2 linked regions of the Caenorhabditis elegans genome follow. The protein of the gene in region 2 interacts with the protein of the main gene of each other region in a pairwise test. Each region holds a gene or a part of one and is shown on either strand. Other genes may lie near its edges.

What was found.
Region 1: the proteins of atx-3 (region 2) and haao-1 interact in a two-hybrid assay, tested with the Caenorhabditis elegans proteins (one large-scale study listed by BioGRID).

Annotation. Positions count from the first base shown.
Region 1 is NC_003283.11:9,502,945-9,507,619, reverse strand, and holds haao-1 (3-hydroxyanthranilate 3,4-dioxygenase), read right to left. Parts: upstream 2,711-4,675; 5' UTR 2,610-2,710; intron 2,016-2,609; 5' UTR 1,932-2,015; coding exon 1,688-1,931; intron 1,425-1,687; coding exon 1,194-1,424; intron 1,152-1,193; coding exon 1,037-1,151; intron 986-1,036; coding exon 871-985; intron 823-870; coding exon 737-822; intron 692-736; coding exon 637-691; 3' UTR 502-636; downstream 1-501. Other genes in the region: swt-5 (Sugar transporter SWEET), read right to left, coding at 3,179-3,295, 3,852-3,971, 4,087-4,149, 4,208-4,300, 4,351-4,474. UniProt on the Caenorhabditis elegans protein: Catalyzes the oxidative ring opening of 3-hydroxyanthranilate to 2-amino-3-carboxymuconate semialdehyde, which spontaneously cyclizes to quinolinate.
Region 2 is NC_003283.11:15,574,821-15,579,470, reverse strand, and holds atx-3 (Ataxin-3 homolog), read left to right. Parts: upstream 1-2,027; 5' UTR 2,028-2,144; intron 2,145-2,583; 5' UTR 2,584-2,592; coding exon 2,593-2,760; intron 2,761-2,808; coding exon 2,809-2,954; intron 2,955-3,004; coding exon 3,005-3,159; intron 3,160-3,304; coding exon 3,305-3,789; 3' UTR 3,790-3,973; downstream 3,974-4,650. Other genes in the region: F28F8.7 (ELM2 domain-containing protein), read left to right, coding at 1-378; F28F8.9 (uncharacterized protein), read left to right, coding at 985-1,014, 1,066-1,251, 1,314-1,392, 1,439-1,560, 1,663-1,818; Coiled-coil domain-containing protein mdt-28, read left to right, coding at 4,075-4,132, 4,397-4,650. UniProt on the Caenorhabditis elegans protein: Acts as a chain editing deubiquitinating enzyme that binds and cleaves 'Lys-48'-linked polyubiquitin chains, with a preference for chains containing four or more ubiquitin molecules thereby modulating protein degradation by the ubiquitin-proteasome pathway.

The sequences.
Region 1 (4,675 bases), 6.1 Mb from region 2:
AGATGCTCAAAACAAGGAAGTACTGGCCAAATTTCAACAATCAAAGTTCTCGTGACGATTTGACAGTAAAAAATGAGGTATTGTGAACATTTTCTAAATTATAGTTTTTTTCCAACCGAGAAGTTATTTTAAGTTATTATTTTCAATCTTCCCCATCAAATTTAAAAACAACCCCTTTGAAAATTACGGCTAAAAGGCATTTATTATTTTTCTGCTAAAAAATTTTCGGAATGAGTTAACGTTTTTTTTTCTAATGAAATAGAAATCATACTAAAAATAGTTATGTAAACTAACTACAAAACAAAAATTGGATTCTTTGTATTTTTAACCAATTTTACAGTTTTTACAGTGACATAATTTCCTGAAACGAACAACGAGGTCTGAAAGTACAAATTTTCTGAAGCTTTGAAGAACATGATGGTTTTGCTGAACCGACAGCGTGTGTTACACGAGACATTTGACATCGATGATAATGAAACGGAATTGATGTTATCAGTTGGCCACGATTGCATGTCATTCATTTTGTTATAAATCAAAATTGAAATTACATTTTGGAATAAAGATAGAAATATTGAAAAAAGCATTCATTCAATCAGCCTATATGGAAATTGACTTTTACAAAATTGAAAAAAAAAATTATGCTGGCATTCTGATGGTGATAGCAAATCCTCCTTTGACATTAAGAAGACACCTAAAACAAAATTATTTCAAAGAACCTATAATTCCGTATTCTTACTTTGTGTTCGGTTTTATCCTAACCATGGTCTCCGATTTCATTGCATAAGTGAACCCGCTCTCTTCTACGACCGCAAATGTGTTTTCCTAAATGATACATGAATTTTTTTTGGGATTTTTCTGTTTTTGCCATACCTGCAACCAAATTAGCAACTCTACAGTTCCACTTTCCAAATCATAAGATCCCTCTCCTAGCAACATAACTTCAGTTTTGTACTCAGGTGCTCCATAAATTCTCACTGGTCCGTTTCTGAAAACTTCTCAAATTAACTATCCGAAACAAAACCAACTAATTTCTTACTTCACTTCACTGATATGATCATAGATAAATTCTTTTCTATTAATAGGTACGGGTAAATCAGTCCATCTTGCTTCGTATGGAGCATTGCATGCAAATGTTCCTTTTCCTGGTTTACCTGAAACAAAAAATCGGTGAGCTCACACAACTACAAACCAACCAGTTTTGAATTCATTCGATCCATAAAATTCTTTGATTAATGGAGGTAAATCCTTGACAACATCAGTCAAATAGAACCATCTTTCAAAGAGTGTGATATTGGAAGAACCAACAAGAAATCGAACACAATCAAATTCAGTATTCTTTCGTTCACGTTCAACGACAAGACCAATAGAGTTGGAAAATCTTTGAGGTGAATGTTCTACTCTTGCTGGCAACATGAACATTTCCCCTGAAAAATAGAGAGCTCAATTTTGAGTTTTGATTCAGATTATCTAACATTTGTGAAAAAAATAATTCCAAAAAATTTTTGACAACACAGATTTAGTTTCCGTTTATAAATTGTGAAAAATTCTCAATTTTCAGTCTAAATTTTTTGTTCATGGAATTTTAATTTAAAAAGCTAGTTAAAAAGTTATCTAAGAAACCATGTGAGTTTGTGTTATTAATTAATTAATTTACAAATTCAAAAATAAATTTTGTGATGAATCCTACCTTGCTTGATTACTAGATCACGGACTTGACCCTTTTCAATCACTTTCAGTACCATATCCCCTTTTCTCTGGAAGAAAAACTCTTCTCCTTCTTCCAAATGAAAATCTTTTCTTTGATTTGGTCCTCCAACGTAGAAAACTTTCAACTGATCCGAGAACATACACTTGTTACAAACAGGTGGTACAAAATCCTCTTGATTATCTTGAATCCATTGTGGAATCTCAATTGCAGTAACTCCGCTCATTGTTATCACAGGTGGTTCTGCCAGTTTGAGTTGAGGCTTCTGTTGCTCTTCGGTAGAAACGGAAGTCGTACAGACTACTTGCTCCTGATGCGAAATGAATAATTTAGTGGAGGTGAAGCAACTCATCGATTGACAAGGGAATTAGCTCAAGACGAATTGGTAGAGAACTGAGAGATCGGGTTGAAATTGAAAAAAGACTGGAATATATGAATGGCAAGTAAAAGTGACATTTTGACCTCTATAATTATCACAAGAAACGAGAAACGGACAATAAATCGTCGAGAAATACCAATACAAGGCGTTCTTGGGAACGCTTTGAAGTTCAAAGGAACAAAGCATTCGTACCCACCTATTACAAAGTTATGCATGAGAACACATTTTGTAAGTAGTCAAGTTGCCAAAAATTGATTTTAAGCCATAAAAATAATCCTCAGATGCCATAAAGAGAATATGAAAATTTACATAATTTTGAGAACGGCAGTGAGTGTGTTCAGGAATTGATACGATTATGAGCTAAGTACAGTAATCCCCAGATGAAAATTTCGAATTCAATAGAATGTTCAGAGAGTCTCTAAAAGGTTTGGATGTAATAAAAGAGATTAAGAATAGATAATATAATAAACGAATGACCTTCTTTCATATACACCAATTAATAATATAACCTGCCATTCTTCTTACCTTCAGTTTATATTTCTCATATAAATATTGCAGTTTATTGGGTTTTTTGGAACATAAGTTGACACATTCCATCTCCGAAACTTCTCTTTTTCTAACCTAAATTATAAAGCTAAAGTCATAGACGATCGAAGAATTTGTCAATTCGATTACAGTAACATAGACTAAATCACCCACAAAAAACCGAAATTTTTCAAAAAATTGTATGTGGTTGAGACAAAGCGGTGTTAATGTCCGATTAACGCGACGAAATGATAAACGTGCAATGTCACATCTTCTTAATTTCGCCCATCTTCTTCTTCTTATTTCCGTTTTTTGTGTCTTTTTTACATTTTTCTTATTCTCGTATCTAAATCTCCGTGATTTGCTTATTCTTCGCTGATTCAAGTGTCGCTTTTCAATTCTTGATTAATGATAAATGTTTGACCGTCTTAAGGAACTGGTACCCGTTTATTTCGAAAAATTGAGAATTGGGAGTGGGAGGAGGAGAGAGAAGCAACATTAAATTGGTGTTGGAGAGAAAATTGATAGAAAACCTGAGATGCTTTGACCAAAACACGAAGCATTCTGGGTTACATGACTGTTGGAATTGGTGACGATTTCAAATTTTTCTTCTTTTTTTCCGTTGGATACACGAAGAACATCGAGAGAAGTGAACCATCCATACAGAAGAAGATCACGTTGGCTAACTGAAAAGTTGTAAAATTGAATTTAGGATTATCTTAACACATTTATTGGTGCAAAAAATTGTCCACATACTTGAAGTTAGTGTTTTACATCTAAAAGCAACGAATTTTCAAGAATGAAGCGTGGCCTAGAAACTGAGAAAACTCGGTCACTTTCAAAAAGTTGAATTTACACGTGGTGTCAGGCTGTCCCATGTCGGTTTGATCAACGTAGATCTACGAGAATTGCGGGAAATTAGACGCTGACTTCTCTACTGATTTAGCATGGTTAAGAGCGTGCTGACGTCACATTTTTTTGGGCAAAAAATTTCCCGCATTTTTTGTAGATCAAACCGTAATGGGTCAGCCTGGTGCCACGTTATTAAGAACTATCTCAAGAAATCTTCTCCGAAAAACCAATAGAAAAACTATTTTAAGTACATTACTCTCAATCTTCAGAGTGTTCAGAAAGAACCTGTGAAAATTAAAGATAAACCGCCGACCGAGTTTTAGATCTTTCTAGGCCACGTCGAAAATGTGACCCTTTGATTTGATAACAGTTAAAAAATTCCGAACAAACCAGCATGTAAAAATCATCAATACCAATACTATAAACGATCGCGTGGAGCTCCATTACCCACGTGAAGACCACTGGAGCCAGGGGTACAAAATCTATACATTTCGATGTTACTGCTTTGTACTGCAAAATGAAATTTGGAGGTATGGGGAATTGAACCCCAGACTTCTCGCATGCGAAGCGAGCGCTCTACCCCTGAGCTATACCCCCGACGGCTAAACGGGTAACTAGTACTTACTATTAGATACGGACAGACCAGAGACCCAGCAATTTGAGCGCCAGATGCGATGCGGCCAGTGAACTGAAAGAGACATAGAGAAATGAGAGTGTATATAAGAAAAAGGGACGCAGACACTCACTTCTTTCCCGTCTTCATCATTCATATTACCAATGTACAAGAAGAGTAAAGACAGAGCAGCTGCAATTCCAGTCATTAGACGAATTAACTTTCGCTGAAATTAAAAACAAATATTTAAAAAGAACAAGATCCAAATATAAATACTCTTTTGGTACGGTAGAAAATGAGTGCAATCACGAAGAATAGTTGCATTGAAACTGCATATGTCTGCAAAAGGATAAGCTTTGTGTCCCGAAGAAATATTGAATACCGAAGCCATAGTGCAGACCTGAAACTTTTGGAATTCGTTGTACAGTTTTATTATAGCAGCAATTACAGAACCATTACAGTAATCCAGTTTATTTTGTGAACTGAATACTGCAATATCGGAGAGTCGGAATAAAAAGAGAGGCAGAAAAAATTGTGCCCTGGCTTTGAAACGGTGATCCGACTATGCCATATTGCAGTATTCATGGAGCAAATGCTCTCT
Region 2 (4,650 bases):
GCCACTGTGTTCAGCAAGGAAGAAGCCAACAAGGTTATTTCTTGGAATACGCTGATGCGAACATCGTCGGGCTCACTGTCACGGGAAGAGTTTGAGAAGATCTACGCATTGAAGAGATCTGAGCTCACAAAGGAAGAGATCGAAATTCTCGGACACAACGACAATATCAATCGTCATTTGGCTGTGGAGAAGCGTATTTCTGCAATGTCAACGTCTGAAAAGCTGAAGCCATATTCTATCCCGCTTTTCCAAAAATGCGGTTATCAAAATGGACATCACATGATCGTTGAAGTTTGCCCAGGAGTAGCGGAAAAGCTCAAGACGATGATTGTTTCGGTGAAAAATTCGAAAAATTTCGAACGAGTTCAAAGACCATAAATCACATATCCTATTGCATTTTTTTCGGTTTAAAGTTACTTTGAAGGCGCAAACGTTATCAAAAGACGAAGATTTTATGAAAAAATTTTAAAAATAAATAAAATAAAAATATTTTCGAAATTCAGCAAAAAATAATGATGCAAAAATAAACCATTCGCTACGAGACCCATCGAATTGCAATGACGCTTGCGCCTTTGAAGTAACTGTATGTTTCCCTTATTTTTTTTAATTCCAAATCCCTGTACTTTGACTATAAATTTTTGTTGTTTTCTTACTTTGCACATTTCTCAATTCCCGAAGTTATTTCGACATTTTTAATTGCTTTCCCTTTTTTAAATTTAAACATTCCCCCGGTTCTCACTTACAAAAGTGATATTCTGTTGATATTCTTGTTTCTCGTTTCATAATGCTGGTTGAATTATCCAAAAACTCAACTTATACTTCAGTTTTCAGTTGAAAATATTGTTTTCTTTACCCAAATCGAGAGATTTCAGGTTTAATATTCGAATTAACCGCTAAAATTTGCTTGTGTAGATTTACGCTAAACAAGGCTCCGGCGCAACATTGGAGTGACGTCGGCAAATTTCTTCAGCGAAATTTTTTTTAATGGAAATAGATGAATTTTCTTGTCAACTTGTTCGTTTTGCCCCAGATTTCCTTCTTTACGCTTTAAATGACTTATTTCAGCTAAAAAAAATGGCCCGCTACCTTCTCGGCGCCACAATGTACGTGGAAGACGTGCTTCGAAGAGACGATTGGAGTTTAGAAGAAACAGAAAATGTGAAAAAATACTTCAAAAATGTGAAAAGCTTCAAAATTCCGAAGATTGAGAAACGAAAAGCCGAGGAATTTGATGAGCCATGCAGAAAGAGAGTAAGAATTTATTTTTCAACAGTTTTTTTCTATTTTTTACATATTTTTCAGTCAATTTGCAGTGCCGAGTCGAGAAGGAGAAGTTCGAAAATGATTTGCAGGCTGGCATCCGATTAATGACACTATTTGCAGGATTTGAAGGTAGAAAATTGAATTTTTCATTCATTTCCATATTTATTTGGCTTAGAAATCGACGAAAAAGCGCTGGAAAGGCTCACAGATTTGGCAAAACTTCGAATAATCACATCAGCAAGACAGATGGCGATTGCTCAGCGGAGACGGAAAGATGGCTTCGAAATTCCTTTTAAAGTAATATAAAAATTTAAAATTGAAGATTTTCTACAAAAAATGACACGTTGTATAAATTATTTCTCAATTTTTTACCAAAAATTATATCAAAAATCGTTACAGAGCCCCGTGGAATGGACGTTGAAGCTACAAGGCGTTCAAAAAGTTCTCGACATCAAAGAATGGTATGACGTCACGTATTGGACGAGATTTCGCGCATTGAAGATGCAATTAATCGACGAAAACGGAGACTTGAAGTCGCCGAAAAACCAGAACTAATTCTAATTTCATGTGACATATTTATTAACTTATTTATTGATTTTCTTCTGTGAATTTTGCATAAAACTAGCCAATTTCTCTCGATTTCATTGTAAAATGTCGTATATTTTTTCGAGGTTGTGTTTAAGCCTTATTATATTTACGATACGATTTTTATGACTTTTTCAATTTCAGAACAATATTCTGCAGAATACTTTGACTTTTTTCAGCTCCAAAACATACCGAAATTCTTATTTCAAGCTGAAATTCTCGAAAACCTTTTGAATAAAGTCAATAAAACGTAGAATAAACAACACGCGGTGTCGTTATTTCGGAGCATCGTTGAGGTTTTTTAATTTCGTTTTTTTTTCGATTTCATCAAATTTCACATTTTTCGTAGGTTGTCAAACGAAATTGGTTATTTTTGTTGAAAAACAAGTTATAAATTGACGTAATTTTATTAAAATAAGTTTATCCTGTAAAAATTCTAACAATATATCCGATGGTTTTGCAGTTTTGTGCTGGAGTTCCATGGAAAACATTAGAAGTCGTGTTGTTTTTTTCGAAAAATAACAGCTTGTTAACAATTCTTCGCGAATTTTCCTATAAAATCTCAATTTTTTTTTTAAACCTATCCGTCTTACAAAAAATATCGATTTTGGCATTCAGCATGAGGAATATTATTGTGAAATCGAAAAAATAAAACTATTTCCAAGTTTTCTTCTCCAAAATTTGAGGTGTTTTATTTATTTTCTCCATTCGTTTCCCTAATCCAAATTTTTCCAGCTCCAAAAAATGTCAAAAGACGATCCGATCAACTCCATCTTCTTCGAGCACCAGGAAGCTGCTCTTTGTGCTCAACACGCGCTGAATATGCTCCTACAAGATGCTCTGTACAAGTGGCAAGATCTCCGAGACTTGGCCATTCAGATGGATAAAATGGAACAACAAATTCTGGGAAATGTAATGGAAAATACGAAAAAATTTTAATTGAAATTCTTGATTTTTCAGGCAAACCCAACTCCGGGACGAAGTGAGAACATGAACGAAAGCGGCTACTTTTCAATTCAAGTTTTGGAGAAAGCACTTGAAACATTTAGCCTCAAGCTCACAAATATCGAAAATCCTGCGATGGTGGACTATAAAAATAATCCCTTGTACGAGTTACCATATAATTTACAAAAAAATTTCATAATTTCCAATTCAGAACCGCCCGTGCTTACATATGCAACCTCAGAGAGCACTGGTTTGTGCTCCGAAAATTCGGAAATCAATGGTTCGAGCTGAATTCGGTGAACCGTGGGCCCAAATTGCTCTCTGACACTTATGTTAGCATGTTCTTGCATCAAGTGTCGTCGGAAGGTATAAATTCATGAATTTTGAAGCTAAATTTTGATAATTAGAGCCAGATTTTTATTTATCCCTAAACTACAAGCTGTAGCGTTGATTTTTTTTTCTGAAAAAAAGTTCCAAAAATCGAAAATTATTTTAATTTATCAATTTTCAGGTTATTCAATCTTCGTGGTGCAGGGAGTTTTGCCAAGATCCGATGCAGACGATCTCATCTCGCTATGCCCAGTTGTACCGCCAAAAGTTACACCGAAAAAGGAGCAGAAGCTGGAGAAAGTCATGACAAAATTCTTCAATACCGTCGGAAAACGACTTGGCGGTGGAAGCGGTGCTCCTCCGGATTCTCAAGAAGAAAAAGATTTGGCGATAGCTTTTGCAATGTCTATGGAAACAAAGGATGGCTCTGAAGTGTCTCGAAGTTCCGCTGAAATCGATGAAGAAAATCTCAGAAAGGCGATTGAGCTGAGCCAGGCTCCAGGACCATCAGAACCGGCTGAGATACCGCTATTGACTCGTTCTCGATCTTCGACGCCGCCAGGAGCTTCAGAACCTTTTTCAAATGCCGAACAACAGCGCAGAGATCGACAAAAGTTTTTGGAGCGATTCGAAAAGAAGAAAGAAGAGAGGAACGATGAAAAATAACGATTTAATCGTAAATTTATTATTTGAATTCTATTATGTGAATATATTCTCGGCTTTTCCTGTATAATTCGATTATTCATTTCTCCCGATACTTGTATCCCCAAATACTTGGTGCTTATGTATGAACCGCTTTCAGACTATGTGATATATTATTTAGAATTAGATGAAATCTCCTTTTTTTCTGAATTTTGTTGCCCTTTTCAAAGTTATTCTGGCATTCCATGAGTATTACTACCTTCAATTTTAGAGTTTTTGGAAAAAATAATCATTTTTTTTAGATTGAAAATGTTCGAGGAATTGGATGCAGAGGACGGCGGAGAAGAACAGGAAATGCCAATGAATGGTGATTTTTGAAAATTCAAGAAATTTTTCGAATTCGAGCTTAAGCTAGTGCTCCACGAGGAGTAGGATTTCCCAGTTTTTTTACTCAAAAGAAGAAAATGGCAATATCTTAAGCTATTTTAATACAAAATTTGATAAAAATTGAATTTTTTTGTTAATTTTCTGATCATTTTTTCCCGATTTTCTCTGAAAAAAAAAACTTTAAAAAATTATTTGATGGCACCCTTGAGCCGAAATAATAAAAATATTTTACAAAATCTAATAGTTCCAGAATTCGGCGGCGGCGGTGAGGACATTGACGATATTCTCGGCGATGCTCCGGATCTTCCAGACGACGAATACTCGAATAGTGTTCCACAAGGAGCCGCTGATGGATCCATTGAAAACGACGAAAGACGAATGAGAAATGATGGAGCCGGCTCAACGAACGAGGATGACGAAGAGCCGATCGAGCCAACTTATCTGGGCGACGCAATCGATTCGCTTATGATGCATTGGTGTCAGCTGCTGACGAATGTA